Linked DNA regions of Tamandua tetradactyla. The protein of the gene in region 1 purifies or fractionates together with the protein of each later gene. This does not show direct contact. Links are inferred from orthologs where the notes say so. Each region holds a gene or a part of one and is shown on either strand. Other genes may lie near its edges. The genes, in order: LYN and ANKRD54.

Region 1 (9,201 bases):
TGAAGCCCAAAGAAAGACCAAAGCTGTTCTCAAGGGCACACTACAGAGACATAGAAAGAAAATGCAAAGCCTACTCTGAGATTTTCATCTGCTATAAAGGAGTGTGTCTAGAGGTCTGCAGATTAGCTAATAGTGTTGTATCAATGGTAGTTTTCTGATAAAAGAATATCTCCATCTTTATGAAATATGCCTTGGAGTGTTTAGAGGTAGAAGGACATCATGTCTGTGCTTTATGTTCGAATAGCAGTTCAGGAAAAAATATAGAGTAAGAGAGAGGGAACATACAGACAAATATGGTTAGATGTTAACAGTTGGAGAACCTGGCTGAAAGACATATGAAAATTCTTTGTGCTATTTTTGGAGCTTTTCTGTAAATCTGAAATTATACCAAATGAAAAGTTAAAAACCTAAGTTCCATATGGGCACCGAGAAACAGATTTGGTACCTTTAGAATCAGAAGCGGGGGCAGCTCTGACACCAGTACGCTGAGACTGGCTTGGCTTCAGGGACTGCACATGATCAGGGAAGAATAGAAGGTGTGGAAGGGAAAAGGGCCCTGGTCCCCCTGACTCAGAGAGAAAAGAGAAATGGAGTAATAAGTGGGCCTTCCCTCACCTCCTGGCCATTTCCCAGTGGCTCTCCAAAATCCATAATCTGTCTATATGAAAACCATTTTTCATTTTTATGCATAGTTTACTATTTTGGTTCCACTAACATTAACACAATTTTGTGCAGCTTTGTCCCAAGTTTGTTAAGGTTCCAGCCCTAATTACATGATTGATGCATTATCATTAGTATTTGGCTCAGTTTTCTATTGTTCAGTTAGCTTGATCGTTCCCTTGTAAGGTAAAAGAACAGAGGACTCTGTGAGATTCAGTTTTGTTGCCTTCGGGGACATTGAACTTTTTCTGTGGCATTTCAGCCTAAGAAAACCAAACCTTGGGGAAGCTACTGTGATTTAAGGGTAACAAAGCCAGACTTTGATGACAATCAGCCGGACAGAAAGGGATAGAGTCCAGCCCAAACCACTTCAGCAAGATGAACTTGAGCCAATCATTTGACTTTCTGAGACTGTTTTCTTATCTATAAAATGTAGAAAATGACCCATACTTATAAGTGGTTGTAAGGATGGATTAGGAGACTTTAATAAGGATGCCTCAGAAATTAACCTCTTCCCTTCAACTTTGGGAAGTTTCCCAAACTTTCCCCTGTCAAAGTACTGCTCCAGCCCTCTAGCAAAGGGACTACTCCACTGTCTGGAACACTTGCATACTTTCCCAAAAGCCAGTTGTTTTTATGGCAATTGTGCCTGTTATGGCAATTTCGTGATTGAGTTAAATAGAAACTTTTAAAATGAGTGAAAAAATTGTTTCTGTGCAAAGTTGAAGATTTGGAAACAGTCATGGGTAAAATGGAAGAGCAAATAATTCTGCTGAATTAGGTATGAGTGAAGCTTCAGACTCAGAGATTGAGCAGTGAGATAGCTTTGCAAAGCTATGAATGGCAAACAGAACTGCAGTATCCTGGCCGTGGTTCAGGTAAGAAAGATGATGCAGCGTGTCAATTAGGGATTTAATGCTCAAAGGAAACATAGTGGCCTTACCTGAGAGATTGGCAAGGAAAAGAAATTATCTTATAGCTAAATTCAAGTAAAATGTTTAAGGTACATCGTTTGCCGAAGCTGCCATGACAAATACCACAGACAGCTTGGCTTCAATACCAAGCATTTATTGTCTCACAGTTTTGAAGGCAGAAGTCCAAAATCAAGAAGGCAGCAAGGACATGCTTCTCTTGGAGGTGGTAGAGTTCTGGTGATGGCCATGTTGTTGGTCTCTTCCTATGACTTTCTCTGATTTCTGGCTGCTCTCGCATATTCAATTATGGATATATGGAGTAAGGCCAACCCTGATTCAGCCTTCTATCTTTAAAGAGGAAGATCCTGTTCACAAATGAGTCCACACCTTGACCACCTTAACATATTCAAAGATACTATTTAAAAATAGGTTGACACACAGAGGAAAATGGATTAAGACTTGAACATATCTTTTATGGAATACATGATTCAGTCCCTAGCACAGTTTTTTTTTTTTTTTTTAATATTTTTATGACGTCCTCACTTAAAACAACTTTTTTCATCTGTCCCAAGTATATCAGATGAGAGGGCTTCTATTGTATTTAATTAGGAACACTGATGATAAATTGAAACTCATTTGCTTGGTAAATATACCCCACATTCCCCCAGGCTGTTTGATTGATGCGCTTCCCCAGGGGTTCACAATCCTGGCTGTTCATCGGAACCACCGAGAGTAATTTAAAACTCTGATGCCAGGTCCCACCCCAGAGATTTGGACTTACTGGATCTCGGTCTGGCCTGGGCAAGGGGCTATCTTAGCTCCCCGGAGATTCTTCTGCAGAGCCAGTTGAGCATCCTACTCTATGTTACTGGCTACTTGGGCCATAGGTCTGGGGTTTGCCAGGCCCACATGGTTGTAAGAGTCAGGCAGAGAGTTCCATCAGCATTCCCTCCACTTCTCCCACAAAGCCAACCAGCAAACAACTTGCAGGAGTTCCTGAGTTGGGCCAAGAAATCAGAACCTTTTGAGGGAGGCTCACAGCAGGGTACCAAAAGGACAGGTCACCAGGGAAGGGCCACACTGTGGCCACAGGGGAAGGCTGCAGGACCAGGTGCCTGGGGACCAACACCAAATTGCGCACCAAAATCATTCATCCTGGCTGTAAATGCTGCCAACAGTCATCGGGTGGTGAGGCTCTGTGGTAATTAAATTCAGTTGTCAACTTGGCTAGGTGAAGGTACCTAGTTCTGTGGCTGTGGACATGAGCCAATGGCATGTGAACCTCATCGGTTGCTGATCACATCTGCAGTCAGCTAGGAGGCGTGCCTGCCCCAATGAATGATGTTCGATTTAACTGGCTGGTGCTTAAATGAGAGAGCACAACATAGCACAGCCCAAGAAGCTCAGCATACCTCATCTCTGCACTCACAGCTCAACCCAGGCCTTTGGAGTGCAGAGAGAAATCACCCCGGAGAAAGCTGTTGGAACCCAGAGACCTGGAGAGAAGGCCAGCAGAGACCGCCCTGTGCCTTCCCACACAAGAAAGAACTTCAGTTGAAAGTTAGCTGCCTTTCCTCTGAAGAACTAATGAAATAAATCCCCTTTTATTAAAAGCCAATCTGTCTCTGGTGTGTTGCATTCCAGCAGCTAGCAAACTAGAACAGGCTCCATGATAAAGGACAATGTACTTGAAGGCAGGTATTTTATTTCCCTCCTAGTGGATGATGGATATTCTTATATGAATGGATGATGGATATCCATGGATATAAGAATATCCATCATCCACTAGGAGGGAAATAAAATACCTACATATATATATGTATATGTATATATATGTATAATATATATATATATAAGAATATATAATATATAAAATGGCTAATGCCGTTTTCGCCACTTCCCCCTTCTTTCCTACTAAAGGATGTCCCCCACCTTCACCCTATCCAGGGAGCCTGGGTGGATATGCAATCTCCCTCTGTATGTTCATCCTCCATAATGTACTCAATTTAGAGAACACTGTTGAAACCCATCAGTTACTCAATTAACTGATCAATCCATACTAATAACAATTTTAAAGCAACTAACAGAACATTTGCCAGGTACAGGGGGAAACATAATATAAGAAACAATGTCTTCCTGAGAGGAGGTGACTATTTTCCAGTAGTGGGGGGGGTGATGGCTGACCCATGAAACAAAAGCAAGCAATGCCAAGAAACACCTGAATCAAGCTTAAAATCAATGTTGCACAGTATAAATGCAATAGGTGTCCTGGAAAGAAGGTCACCAATGAGGGCTTTAAATCTAACTTTCCAAGAAATGGAATGTACATGGGACTTCAAAGAAGAAATATGAAGATAGAAAATGGGTAGGGAGTGTTCAGGATGCACAAATATAGCCTGAGAGGTGGGGATGGACGCACCCCCTCCCCCCAGGTAAGAAGAAAGAGCTGAGCTCAGCTAGGATCCTCAAGTACAAGGAATTAGAAGTGTTGGAGCTGGGTGCAAGCCTGCATCTGTCTGAGGATGCTTTCGTCTTCACTCTAAGACACATTTTACCAGAGACGACAGGACATTCCAGGGAGATCAACCAAAGCCTAACATTTGTGTACTCTATTCTTGCTTGCCACATGCCTTTAGCCAAAGAATCTCAAGGACTCACTGATAAGATTCCCTTATGTAAACATTTTAATTTGGGGCCAATATTTTAAGAGGTCATTTTGGAGGAAGTCTAGAAATGAACCCCTGAGTAGTGAATTGCTAAGAATCCATCATAGATTTCATTCAATGTTCAACACCTTCCCAAGGGTGACTCCACCCCTTCTCTTTAGTGGGCAACAAACTGAACTGCCTACCAGTGAACATCAGACCTATCAGCAACTTCTTTTTATTCTTGTAAGAAAGTAGTTTGCAAACCTTAGTACTTTCTTATTAGTAACCAATGACTGCTGTGTAGACTGTGTTTCAGGGTGTTCTACTCTACCACATTCTCCCGTGGGGCCAGTCTCTTGAGAACACCGTGAAGGAGAGAAGGTAGTATGTCCAACATGCTTTGGACTTTGTATGGAGTCCATTAGGCGCTATGTAAGTGTTTGCTATTATAAATGCAAAGATCCATTTCTCCAATATATTTCCTTGAAAATTCTACAATGTAGTGCAATCGAGGGATCCTAAGGAATGAAATACCGCTTATAACATGGACTATGATGGAGACAAATCTCACATCTTGATTTGTAAATGGCATTTGCTGAGGTGAACTCTGAGTTTAGAAAGGCAGTCGTTCTTTCAGCAAACATTGGTTAGGCATCAGCTGTGTGCCAAGGACGGTGGTGCTATATGCTCCCATGCAGACAGTGGCAATGAAATTATCACAGAGCAAGCCCTTGGCGTAAGGCATTTCATCGTCCCGGTAACTGAGCGCTAGGCATTCTTGCCTCCGTTTTCCCTTGAGGAAACTGAGGCTTTGAGGAGCTGAGCAACTCGCCAGTTAATTTAACTTCAGAAACTCCTTCTTCTCCCGCAAAATGTGACGCCTCTGTGTACAGCCTCAAGGGGCTTACTCTGTGTGGAGTAAGATTCACTGAGTCCTGAGCACATCTCATCCTTTTCTAGAGAGCTGCAAATGTTGGGAAGGTTCAGAAAGCGCCCCATCTGTTCCCAGGAGCACCTCGGAGAGTAGGCTGGGGGGAAAGGAAGGAGGCGAGAGGTTCCCTGGATGTGCCCACAAAGCCAGAGTCCCGCTCTCCAAACGAGGTCCCTGAAAGCTGCTTCTGTCTAATTCCAGGGAGAAGTTCTAACCTCCTTAGCTGCGCCCTGGAACACCAGGTTTCTTTGCCTTTAAAGCACTGCGCGACAGCCGCACCAAAGACCCAAACTTTGGGCAGGGGCCAAACGGTCACTTCCCCGCCCTCCGGGAGCAGTATGCAAATCCGAGCACCAGGAAGTCCCTGGGACCTCTCGGCCAAGCCCAGCGACAGCCAGTTCCTCTGCCGCCGCGCCGGGCCTCGCAGCCGCTCACTCCCCGCCGTGGCGCCTCAGGGCCAGACGCGCCGTAGTTTTCAGCCCGCAGTACCGGGGTCCGGCGTCATCTCCGCCAGACCCGCGCGCCCCTCTCCCGCCTCCTCGCCCCGGCCCGCCGCCCTCCCCACGCGGGCCGGGCCGGGCCGCCCCGTCGCGTCCCCGCTCCGCGGCCGGGTCACCGTGGAGTTCCGCCGCTGCCGCTGCAGCCTCGCAACTTGCACCGCGAGCAGGTGAGTACACCGCAAGGGAATCGCGGGCGTGGGCAGCGAAGAGGGCCACGGGAGTGGGGCCCTGCCGGTGAGGGGCCCCGAGATGCCGTCAATCTGTGGGTGGTGTGGCCCGGCGGGGATCCAGTACGTGGGCGGGCTCTCGGCAGGTGTCTTGCAGCCGAGCAGCGTAGGGGCGTGGTGGGAGGTCCTGCGCGCAGGGTGGGCGCGCGCACCGGGCATGGGGGTGGAGGGGGCGCTTGCTGTCCCCTGTCCAGCCACTATCTGCGCGCCGCAAGCGTCTCCTCCTCTCCACGAGGGCCGGGCGCGCGCGTGGGACCCTGGCGGGGACTTCTCGGATGCCGTGATCGGGTTTCCCCGCTGGGTCCCGGGTCTCTAAAGGTAAGAGGAGAGCCTCGACCTGCCCGCCCCCTCCCAGGCCGCCTGGGCAGTTGCTTCCTTGGTGACTCCGGGGAGGAGCGGGACGTCCAGGGGCTTCTGCGGAGCTACTGCGCGCCCTCCCACTGAACCGATGCCTCTCCGCCTGCAGATGGGCAGCCCCATGCCTCGTTAGGGAGGAAGCGGATGGTTATTTTAAGAATTCAGGGGTTGCTTTCCTCGCCTTGGGGGAAGGGTGTAAGCATCGGTTCCTACTGTCGTTTGTTATCTTGGCGGACTGTCGGAGGCTTTGCATCTGGAGGGGCCCATGTCATAGCCGCGTGGTCCAGTGGAATTTCTTTGGATATCCGGAGTGCGAGTCTTAATTATCCCAAATCCTCCCAACTTCTTTGCCATCTCAGAAGCCTGGAATGCGGGCGTTGCAGTTTCCTAGCTGTGGGTGAACTGGAGTCATTATTGAAATTCCCTGTTGGTTTCCTCATCTGTCAGAGGAAACCATCTACCGCCTGAACTATGGAGCATAAAGCCCCTCGTACCCAGTATGCATTCCATAAGGTGGCATGGTTATTACTACTTATTGGAAATAAATATGTCTGTAAAAATGAGGCTCTTTGGATCTTTACAGTTTGGCGGTTTTAAACCAAGGTCTCTTCCGATGTACCCATCATCTTCCATGCTGAGACTTTGCTCTCCCAAAATATTTGCTTAAAACAATAAAGGATTTGCTGTCCCAATGCAGGAACCAGGAATCTGATGCTCTAAGAACTAGCCAGTAAAGAAGGCTGACTTAGCTTGTTGTTTGTTGTTTGCCCCCAGCAGAGGTCATGTACAGGAGGCAAGGAAGCTCTTCCTGTACTGTCAGCAGCTAAAGCAGGGCCAACTCCTAGCAGGCACTGGGAGAGTAAAGGAGCTTACTAAGGACTCAAGTCCATTCTAAGGTGTACTTTGCTGGGGAAGGGCGAGAATCAGTCAGTGCCTTGGTTTTCACTGGGCACTATGTGTTTTGAGGCTTGAAGAAAAGTAATTTTATGACTGGGGCCCTTAATGGCTGATCCTCTTTGGATGTAGGGTGGGGATCTCTCTTTCTGGTTAAAGGGTAGAGGGGAGCTGTTATAAATGAAAAGAAAACTGGAGCCAGGAAACTGAGATTTGGTCTCATCCAGCGTTGCTGGAACTGTGATTTGGGATAAATAGGTTGTGTCATTAATTAGCCAACATTTCCCTCATGGTGGGAACCAAAGCCACCTCATGGTTTGTTTTCATGTGGAAGCTCCATGGAAGGAGGAGTGACATTTGTTTTGTCCTGGTGCCCTGCACACATTGGGTACACAATAGGGATGGCTTGAAAGAAGGAATGAAGGGCCTGCCTCAAGCAAGGTCAAGGACACATGGGGACGGGTGAATAGGCTGCTCCTTAAGGCATCCTTAGTCTCTTGGCCCTTTCTGTCTTGTTTCTAAAATGGGAATTTGGGGGACCTGTTGACTCTAAGTTACCTCAAATTCTACTACAAGTGGGAATCTCTACTCAGGGCTCGTCTCTCTTGATCCACCAGAAGGAAGGTCTTGATTTGGGGGTGTGTCCTGCAAAGGTGGGGTTATCCAGTCAAAAAGACCCACTTGATCTTGTAGTCATTGATATTCCAAAGGTGTGTGGAGACTTTGTCGTGTGCCCCCACCTCCACCATCTCCAGTGGCTCCCTTTAAGCAGCAAAGTGGTTCAACAGTTTTATGACTTCCAAGTCGTATATATGTTTGTATTCTATATATGTATGTATTCCATGAAGTGCATTTTGTATTAAAAAATAAATCATCAAAACATTTGGGGTTCCATTTGGTTCAGGTTAATATACAGAACCAAATGAAAACATATTATTTGTTAACAAACTTACATGAATTTTAAATCTGTGCACAGAGAATACAACGTGTACATTCACACATCCTGGAACACTTAGGCTCATGGGTACTGATTATCTCAATTGCCTCCATATACTCAGTATTAGGATTAATATTAAAGGCTCACGGACAGTATCGGTCGTGACATTGGTTAGTGACCTGTCTGACAACAGCGCTGCATCTCAGACCTCTCCTTAGTGATGATGGGCTAACCCTTTCGCCTGCCAGGGGCTCTGAAGCTTCCTGGAGTTCGGTTTCACTTGAACATTTCCTGGCCCCTGCTGGACAGGGAGATTGTGGGTCAGGATCACAGGCCTGGTTCAGTGGCACGGAATCAAGTGATAGAAACGTCTTCTGGCCCCAACGTTAGAGCTTTTCCCACTTGCTTACCTTTAGACTCCGAAGTAAGGACTCAGTAACTTAAAAACAAAGAGGAACTAACTTATCTTTAATAAGTGTTTTAAAAAAATTATGCAGTAACATGTACAACAGTGTAAGCATTTTCAAGGCAGACTTGAAATCTAGGTGATTTCTTCTATTGACTGGTAATTATCGAAACAAGCAGCTAATGCCAAGACCCACAACAGACAGTTCCATGCATGAGGATGCTCAGCTGTCTTTTGGAGAAGACTTTCTGTGCCTTTGGCTCTGCTTCCTGTTTGCGGGGCAGGGAGCTTTGATTATGGCTAAAAGTTCATTATCTTGCTTTTGTAGGAGCAGCTCTTGGACTGCTTGGTTGGCCGAAGCCATATTTTGCAATTTTGCCTTCAAACCTTTACTAGAAATTCCTCCTTCATGGACCTGAGATCGTTATGGGTGGGTATAATACCAGGAAGACCATGATGTGAAGTGAAAAATATAAAGAACCTAGGGCTCATAGAATGCACATGAAAACACGCACTGTTTTCTGAGCATCTGCTCCCCATAAGGTGCAGTTCTGAGCCCATAGCCCTTCCACAAGACAAGGATAAGGAAGAGGAAGTTTTGTTTGTTTGTTTTTTCAGTCAGAAATATTGAAAGATTTCTTGCAGCTGCCTTGTTTCCTGGCATTTAAATTGTGAAACTTTGAGTTCACTCTATCATTATTTCTGAAATTTATTTTGAGTTAGTTCC
Region 2 (9,400 bases), on another chromosome or scaffold:
AGTTTACTTACTGTCCTGTTTGTTTCATTCTCCTGAACATGACCTTGTGACCCCTCTCCAGATTACTGCAATAGCATATGGACCCTAGGAGAGCAGTAGCTCTTGGCTTTGTCTTTATAAATCAGAACCAGAAGCATCCTATGGATCATCTGGTATAGAGGTCACTAAAAATCCAAACTAAGACTGCTAGATATAAGAACTACATGAAATAGCAGGCTGTTTCCTACCTGCATCTTTTATTTTTTAATTTATTTTGTATTATCAAACTAAAACAACATACAAACATGAACATTCTTTTTTAGAAAAAATTTTATTAATAAAACTAATCAACATACAATATGAACATTCTTTTTTATCACATAGTTGAATATTCATCATCATGATCATTTCTTAGAACATTTGCATCAATTCAGAAAAAGAAAAAGACAACAGAAAAAAAATTCATACATTCCATACCTTTTACCTCTTCCATTCATTGGTCACTAGCATTTCAATCTACTAAATTTATTTTGACATTTGTTCCCCTTATTATTTATTTATTGTTTATCCATATGTTTTACTCATCTGTCCATAAAGTAGATAAAAGAAGCATCAGACACAAGGTTTTCACAATCATACAGTCACATTGCAAAAGCTGTATCATTATACAATCTTCTTCAAGAAATATGGCTACTGGAACACAGCTCTACATTTTCAGGCAGTTCCCTCCAGCCTCTCTATTACATCTTGACTAACAAGGTGATACCTATTTAATGAGTAAGAATAACCTCCAGGATAACCTCTCCACTCTGGAGTCTCTCAGTCATTGACATTTTGTCTCATTTCTCTCTTCCCCCTTTTGGAAGAGAAGGTTTTCTCAATCCCTTCCTGCTGAGTTCCAGCTCATTCTAGGATTTCCTAACTGCATCTTAACTTGTATTCTTTCTTTCATCATAAACATTTAAGGTTCTTGTCCTTGCCCACAAATATTCACTCATTCTAAAAACACAAGGCCCTCTCTCTGTAATCTAAAAGAACAATTCTTGAATTGTTAAAAATATAATTCTCATGTTTATATCTTTTTCATTAATTTTATTTTATAATTTCCAAGATTTGAAAACATTCCATATAGCAACGACTCCTGCTTCTACCCTCCCCGTAGCCTGGTAACCCTTAATCTTCTTTCTGTTCTCTGCTATTTCTAAATATTTCATATAAGTGAAATCACAATATTTGTCCTCATGTGCCTTGCTTATTTTGCTGAGCATAATGCTGTCAAGGTCTGTCCATGTCATAGCGTGTCTCAGAATTTCATTCCTTCTTACAGCTGAATAATACTCCGTTGTAGGTATGTACCATATTTTATTTATCCATTCTTCTATTAATGGACACTGGGTTGTTTCTGCCTTTTGGCTATAGTGAATACTGCTGCTGTGAACATTAGTGTATGAATATCTGTTTAAGTCCCTGTTTTCAATGAACATTAGTGTACGAATATCTGTTTAAGTCCCTGTTTTCAATTTCCTTGGGTATATACCTCGGAGTGGAATTTGCCAAATCATATACCAATTCTCCATTTAACTTTTTGAGGAAATGCCATACTGCTTTCTACAGTGACAGTACCATTTTACCTTCCCATCATTTTCTATATTTTGATTGGGTTGGTAGGTACAGGAGTGTATATATTTGTCAAAAATCATTGACCTGAACACTTAAAATGTGAAGGTGTTATCATATGTATGTATTTTATGCTTGAATAAATTTGACTTTTCAATTATAAGTAAAATTGACAACAAACGAACCAAAAATTATTTTAGAACTTATATGATAGACAAAAAATATATACTCTTAATAAATTAAAATATAATTCTATCACAAATAGAGAGTGTGCACATAGTAGAGCTTATTTAATCCTTAAAGGAACCAACAGTGTGACAGAGCTGGCTCGAAAAGAATTTGAGGATGGATAGTTATTGAGCAAAGAAAAGCTGTTAGATTGCTAAGTTAGATCCAAACTTAAATCATGGTCTAAGGGCAATAAAATTGTAAACATTGGGATTATCTTCTCCGTTGGAAAAATAAACATCATTGTACCTTATCCATTTTCTTCAAGTTAACCTCTAACTTTACGAAATTCTAAGACAATTCTTGGTCTAAATCAAGTGTTAATCAAAGTTAAGTTTTCCCCAGAGAGTCTGATGTCTCTTACCTGGCCTTATTAAAAAATGCTCTAGCACAATATTAAAAATGCTCAAGCCCAATATTTAAAATCACAGGATCCCCATTCGCTATATTTTCAGATATTAGGTAATTTCCCCACACACTAGTTTTCATTATACTACTTTTAATAAAGACAGAACTATTTTAATTTCCTGTTAACTCTACTTAAAAACAACAGCCAAGTATGACAATAAATAGCAATTGTCTTCAGCCTCGGCGTGGCAATAATAGGGAGTAGTGGGGACTCTAGCAAACCAGCGCACCATGCCCACTCAAAGGGGAGAGTTGCTATGCAGCTCCAGCAACTGTTGCCAAGTAGGAAAGCAGGCCTTGCTTTGCCAGAGATTCCCATTTCTAAGAGAACCTGTAAGTCAATATTTTTTTCTGTAAAAGCTATCAATCTTTAAATGCTGACAAGCAGTTCAAATTTCTGAACAGGTCGATAGGGTTTGGGAAAGAAAGAATGAAAGGAAACTCAACCAGCTATTTCTAGCCTAAGGGGCCAAAGATGTCAATATCTGACCTAAAAATAACCCTGTCAGATGGTAAGACTGAGGCCCAGAGAGGAAGACCTTGCCCAAGTCACAAAGTGGCAGATTGGACTTGGATTCCCAGGCAGGCAAAGACTTTTTTTTTTATTTGAGGTTATTATTTATTACCTATTAAATAATGCAATTTTTATTGGTAGGGTAGCTAGGGTTTGAAACTGGTTCTAATGTTTTTTTTTAATTTATTAATTAAAAAATTAAGAAACAAAATAAAACATCAACATACATAATTCACATCATCACTTAGTTGCATATTCATCATTTCTTAGAACATTTGCATTAATTCAGAAAAAGAAATTAAAAGACAATAGAAAAAGAAATAAAGCGAACACAGAAAAGAAAAAAAAAGATTATACCTACTATACCCTTTACCCCTCGCTTTCATTGATCACTAGCATTTCAAACTAAATTTATTTTAGCATTTGTTCCCCCTATTATTTATTTTTGTTCCATATGTTCTACTCCTTTGTTCACAAGGTAGCTAAAAGGAGCATCAGACACAAGGTTTTCACAATCACACAGTCACATTGTGAAAGCTGTATCATTATTCAATCATCCTCAAGAGACCTGGCTACTGGAACACAGCTCTACATATTCAGGCAGTTCCCTCCAGCCTCTCCATTACATCTTGAATAACAAGATGATATCTACTTGATGCATAAGAATAACCTCCAGGATAACCTCTCGACTCTGTTTGGAATCTCTCAGCCATTGACACTTTGTCTCATTTCCCTCTTCCCCCTTTTGGTCGAGGTTTTCTCAATCCCTTGATGCTAAATCTCAGCTCATTCTAGGGTTTTTTTCAATCCCTTGATGCTGAGTCTCAGCTTATTCCAAGATCTCTGTCCCTCGTTGCCAGGGAGGCCCACAAGACAATGTTACTGGTATTTTCTTTGTCTCCTATTAGGTGCTTTATGTTTTATTTGCTGACTGACCAAATATAAATGGCTCGTGTGTGAATGAATGCTTGCAACACCCTCAGGGTCAAGTTCCAGCCAGTGTGATGTGCCCACTGTCATGTAGGATTTGTATGGTCTTAGCCAGCATCCTACCCTTATTAGTACATAAGGTACATGTACATAACGTTTGTTCCTTTCCTCTGTTTCCTTCTAGCTACAAATAGGGTTGGATTTTGTCTTTACTGATTATGGGGCAGAGGAGAGTTCAAGTTCCAGTCTGAAACTCTGAGGCTAATGAACGGAATCCACACTCAAACACAGCTCATTCTTCCCATTCCAACATTCAAGTAATTCCTGCAACAGATGGAGGGCTGGGCCATGCGGTTTATGCCTCCACAAATTTGACTTTAAATTAGAAGTAAAATTAACAACCACCTCTGTTTGTTCAGGGATCCTGCTTAGATTCAAAGTTTTCTGCTGAAGCAAACATCTTGGTAGGCAAGATGGTGTGGAGATCAATCTTTCTCCTCTTGATAGGAGAAAGAAAACAGTTCCAAAAATAATTGGATCCAAATTAGGAAGGGTCTTAACTACCAGCATAAAGGGTTTAGACTTCAACCTGAACTCAGTGGGCAAACAAGTTTCTAGGAACTTGAAGAGATTTGCCAATTTAGGCAGCATAGATACTTGTCATTTGAGATTCTAAGAAGAGAGAATGGAGGGAAGACTGTTTTGAAGGTCATTACTTGGAAAAAGAGGAGGAATAATAAAGTTTTTTTCAGGGGTACATTCATCAGGAGTGAGGTGTAAATGCTCAGATATCACTTAGACTTCCTGGAGTCAGGTTTCCTGCAGGCTCTTCATTTATGAAAGAGGGGAGTGTGGCCTTGGGCGGTGGTCTGGATTCAAATGCCACTTTTAACTGTCTTGCTCTGTACCCTTGTACAGTTCACATAATATTTCAGGGCCTCAGTTTTCTGATCTGCAAAGTGGATATAATAATATCTAAATGTATATCAAGCCCTTGGTAAATGGTATATGTTCAATAATATTTGTTTCTTGCCTGTTTCCTTCTAGCTACAAGTGGAGTTGGCATGTGTCCTTACTTGTTATCGGACAGAGGAGGAGAGTTCAAATATACTATTTTTCTACAATGATAATTCTCATAACGGTGTCCCGCAGACACTACAAAATCTGGAAGTGCTTTTTTCAACTGTCAGGAAGATTACTTTTTAATTGGGTTGGCTGACAGTGAGAGGGTTTATGTGGTGGGAAAAGTCCTTGACCCAAGAACGCTGGGCATCCGTGAACAGGCCACTTGTCTCTGTGATTTTGTAGTGGGGCGCACCCTTACAATTTCAGTTCTTCATCTATAAAATAGGGAGGTTCCTCCTTGCCCACCTTACAGAAGTGTTTGCGGGGCACAAAGACGTGAGAATTCTTCCAAAACAGTAATGGTAAATTCACGGTTATCTGTCTGGTTGCAGAACACTTCCTTGCTCCCGGATTTGTCCCTGGGGACCGTGAGCAGCTCAGTGGGCACCAAGTCTGATCCTGTGTCCTGGACGTGCAGCCGCTCTGTGACCGACTCTCGGACTGAAGTGTCGCTGTAGTGTCATTACGTTAATTATAACGCTTTGTAAATCATTAGTGATCAACGCGCGGGGGGGGGGGGCGAGAGACCGCAGACTAAAGAGAATCTATCACCCTTAGAAACTATTACTCCACAGCCCCACATTTTGACATACTTTCACTTTCCTTCTTGGACCACGCATTGGGAAGAAGTTCTTTTTCTACGTTCACACTCCCTCCCTCCCCGCCTTCTTATCTTTCTTTGGTGAATGGCTGCTGCTCATCTAAATGTAATTGGCTCCAGCCCCTTCCCACTGTCTTTCCCATAATCCGACGGGGGAAAATTGAAGAAAAAAAAAAGAATGTCTTAGACTCTGCTGTTTTATTGGCTCCGGTAGCGACGTACGTACGCGTGGACCGTGGGCACTTCAAATTTTTTATTGGTTTCTTTGTCCGCCAGTCACAGTGCCAGAAACACTGTCCAATCCTTTCGTGCGTACTATGCCCTCCCTTCCCGATTGGCTGTCAGGGTTTAGGCTGGAAGGGCTATCATTGGTCCGGAAGACCCGAGCTCGTCCCCCGCTGAGGTGCGGTAGTTGCAGGCCGGGCCCGGTCTTCTGGCTCACTCGCTGACAGCGCGGCTTACGGCGGAGGGAAGTGGGTCGGTTGGTCTGTCGGGAACGAGGCTCCCGCGGCTAGGCCCGCGCAGAACCGTTACCATGGCAGCAGCCGCAGGGGGCGCGGAAGATGAGCCGCGCTCGGGCAGATCGAGCTCGGATGGCGAGTGTGCGGTAGCCCCGGAGCCTCTGACTGGTCCCGATGGCCTCTTCTGCTTCGCCGACTTCGGGGCGGCGCTGGGCGGCAGCCCGGGCCTCCCAAGTCGGTCGTCCAGCGGGGCCCAGTCCCCGCTGCGCTACCTGCACGTCCTGTGGCAGCAAGACGCGGAGCCTCGCGACGAGCTGTGCTGCAAGATGCCCGCCGGCCGGCTGAGGCGCGCCGCCAGGCCCCACCGCCGGCTCGGGCCCACCGGCAGGGAAGTCTACGGTGAGGAGCGGAGCGGGCTGGCGGAGCGCGAGGCAGGCGGCCCGTCCATGCCCCCCGCCCCTCCCCGGTACCCGGGACCCTGGCCTTCCCCGTCACTCGCAGCCTGGAACTCCGGGACGCCCGGGCTAAGGCCAGAATGACCCTAGCGCCTCCTTTCAATAACTGTTATTATAGTTGCTAAGGACCACGAATTTTTTTTTTTAATGTCTTACTTCTCCTAGCCTGTCATCACTGACCTTCACACTTGGTAGTTCCTAAGTAGAAACTTTCATGACCCCAAGTATTTATTAGTGGGCAATAAAAGGGAATACCAGAGAATACTTTTATTATCAGAGAGGGGAGGCCAGAGCTCGTAACCAAGTGGTACCCAGTTGTTTAGATGTGCAGACCTGGGATGGACTCCTCTACCTTAGGCAAACTGTTGAGCCTTTCAGCCTTAGTGTTCTCATTTGTACAGTGTGTACAATACCTGCTTTACAGGGCTATTGTGAGAGTTCAGTTAAATAATGAATGTATAACCATTAGACCTCCTTTGCTGTGTTCCAGACACTGTTTTGGGTGATATGGGGTAATTTTTAATTCTCACAGTAATTCTTTGAGATCCAGATATTGTTCCCATTTTATTGAAGAGGAAACCAAGGCACAGTGACATTGTTTTGCTCCAGGTCCTTAGCCAGAAAGAGGCTGGGCTGGTATTAGAACCCTGGTCTGCTTGACTCTAAAACTCCTACTTTGCTGTATATTTACCATACTAGCTTTTACATTTAATGGCTGACAGGGAAACCAAGACTCTGAAAGATTAAGAATGGGGCTTCTTGTGTCCCCTTTAGGACTAATCTGTGATTCCACCGATATTTTAGGGGTCTTGTGAAGATTAATTGAGAATTTGAAAGTTCTGTAAAACCATAAAGTGCTATAGGAATGTAAGGAATTTTTAACCACTTCCCTGATGACAAAGCTATTGCTTTCTACTAGCCTCTAAATAGAGTTGGTGTCAAGGGAGGGGAAAAATGCTTTTGCTTAAGAATGACCAAGTTTAGGTAAGTCATTTGGGAGTGACCTATTTTGGAGGAAGTATAATAAGAAGATCTGTGTAACTAGCTCAGAAAGAGCTTCTAAGTAAATTATCTATGTCATTTCATCTTTCCAACAATTCAAGACTGGCAGGGTCGAACTTAACCTTGTTTTAGAGATGATGGACCTGAGACCCAGAAGGGTTAACTAAACTTGCCCAAGTTCACCTCACTACTATAAATGGCAGAGCCAAGATCCAGAGGCCTTGGAGGATTTGCCAAGCATGCGGCCTCTACCCTAGTGCCACATTTCAAGTTTCTCCTTGTTCCCAGTGTAGTATCTCTTGTAGCTAGCAGTTTTCTTCCCTTTAGGTGCTATTATGGCTGAAGAGTGGATTATCTCCCATCCACTTTCTGCTTCATCACACCTGTTTTGTTTTTTTTTTAACTGGAATTCCTTTACTCTTGTCATAGCTCTGAAGAGGCTCCGGGACTCAGCCAATGCCAATGACGTGGAAACAGGTGAGTGTGCACATTGGGCCTAGCTCCAAGGACCTGTGGACTGGTTTGGGGAAGGAAAAATCCAATTAACACATTACCTGAGAAGAGAGTGCTTTAATTCAGCCTACCAGGTTACCCCTAACTCGAGGCTCACTTTGTTTACTGTGTAACTTTGCAGTCAACTTGTAGAAGGTGAATCTGGCTTAGATGCTTAGTCCCTTATGCTCCCCTATTACCCTGAACTTCCTGATGTCATATAATTTATCACCGCTGGGCTCATTGTCTGCTTTTACACCCCTGGCTCCCAGCGCAGTCCTCCGCAGAGAGTTATTGCTCATTTTTCAACCTCTGCGTTGGGAATGAACATTCAGCTTTAACTGCCAGGGGTCGGGTAGGCAGTGCCACCACCTTTAGCCTACTCACTGAGGCTTAATGGTAGTTGGGTCGGTCCCTGGTTCTCAAACTTCAGTTGACAGAGCATTTGAAAAGCATAGGTGGAGCTCATAGCAGAACACCACTGTTGTCTGGTTTTTTTTTTTATTATTGCTCTCCAGCATCTGCCAGCTGACAAGGCAGTAGCAACATCAAAGATGCAAAGAAAATTTATAGGAAAACATTTTTTAATTTTATCCACTAATATAATTCCCTCTGTGACTTGGGGAAAGTGATATATTCGTTTCCTATTGCTGCTGTAACAAATTGCCACAAACTTAGGAACTTAAAACAATGCATTTCTTATCTTAGAATTCTGTACGTCAGAAATCCAGCACGGGTCCCACTGAGCTAAAATCAAGGTGTCTGCAGAGCTGCATTCCTTTCTGGAGGCTCAAGGGAAAAATGTTTTCCTGCCATTTCCAGCTTGTCCTAACTACCCACGTTCCTTGCTTGTATTCCTCTTCAAATCCAGTCACAGTAGGCTGAGCCCTTCTCATGCCATCTTTCTGGTTCTGGCAGCAGAGACAGTTTCTCCAGTTTTAGGGACTCTGTGATTAGATTGGGCTCACCTAGAGAATTCAGAATAATCTTCCTATCTCCAGGTCCTTAACCTTCATCACATCTGCAAAGTTCCTTTTGTCATATAAGGTAACATAATCACAGATTCTGGGAGTTAGGGCATGGACATCTTTGGGGCCACTATTCTGCCTACCATAAATGGACATCATTCTGTTTTGATGGTGGGGAGCTATGCTCACGTAAAATCTGAGCATAGACTGAAGGCCATGGGCTAGAAGAGCTCACTGAGAGCAGGTGTGGAAGGAGGTCATGGGTGTTGCCCCACGGGCCCTTGAGATGGTTCCCCTATCCTGCCGTAGCAGCAGTGAACGTGCCCTAAACTGGAGAGATTTTTAACTCTTTTCACTGTTTTCTATGAACATTTTGGAATGTTTGGGAAGCAACTTAGATAGCTTTTCAAGAAAGAGGAAGAAGAATTTTCTTTTTAATTTTTTAAAAAATTATTATTTTTTTTAACAAACAAATACTTCCCCTTTCCCCAGCCTTTCAGCCCTTGGTAACCTCTAATCTGTTTTCTGTCTCTGTGAATTTGCTATATTTCTAGCCATCTCTTATAAGTGATACCATACAATTGTTTGTCCTTATTATCTCGCTTATTTCACCGAGCATA

Evidence for each region.
Region 2: the proteins of LYN (region 1) and ANKRD54 purify together in Homo sapiens (affinity purification with mass spectrometry; 3 studies listed by BioGRID and IntAct, with this or other methods). This does not show direct contact. The link is inferred for Tamandua tetradactyla from reciprocal best matches to the Homo sapiens genes LYN and ANKRD54.

What each region holds. Positions count from the first base shown.
Region 1 is NC_135332.1:99,477,490-99,486,690, forward strand, and holds the start of LYN (tyrosine-protein kinase Lyn), read left to right. Parts: upstream 1-5,571; 5' UTR 5,572-5,820; intron 5,821-9,201. UniProt on the Homo sapiens protein: Non-receptor tyrosine-protein kinase that transmits signals from cell surface receptors and plays an important role in the regulation of innate and adaptive immune responses, hematopoiesis, responses to growth factors and cytokines, integrin signaling, but also responses to DNA damage and genotoxic agents.
Region 2 is NC_135333.1:30,207,506-30,216,905, reverse strand, and holds the start of ANKRD54 (ankyrin repeat domain-containing protein 54), read left to right. Parts: upstream 1-5,772; 5' UTR 5,773-5,937; coding exon 5,938-6,262; intron 6,263-6,333; exon of another isoform or gene 6,334-6,509; intron 6,510-7,749; coding exon 7,750-7,797; intron 7,798-9,400. UniProt on the Homo sapiens protein: Plays an important role in regulating intracellular signaling events associated with erythroid terminal differentiation.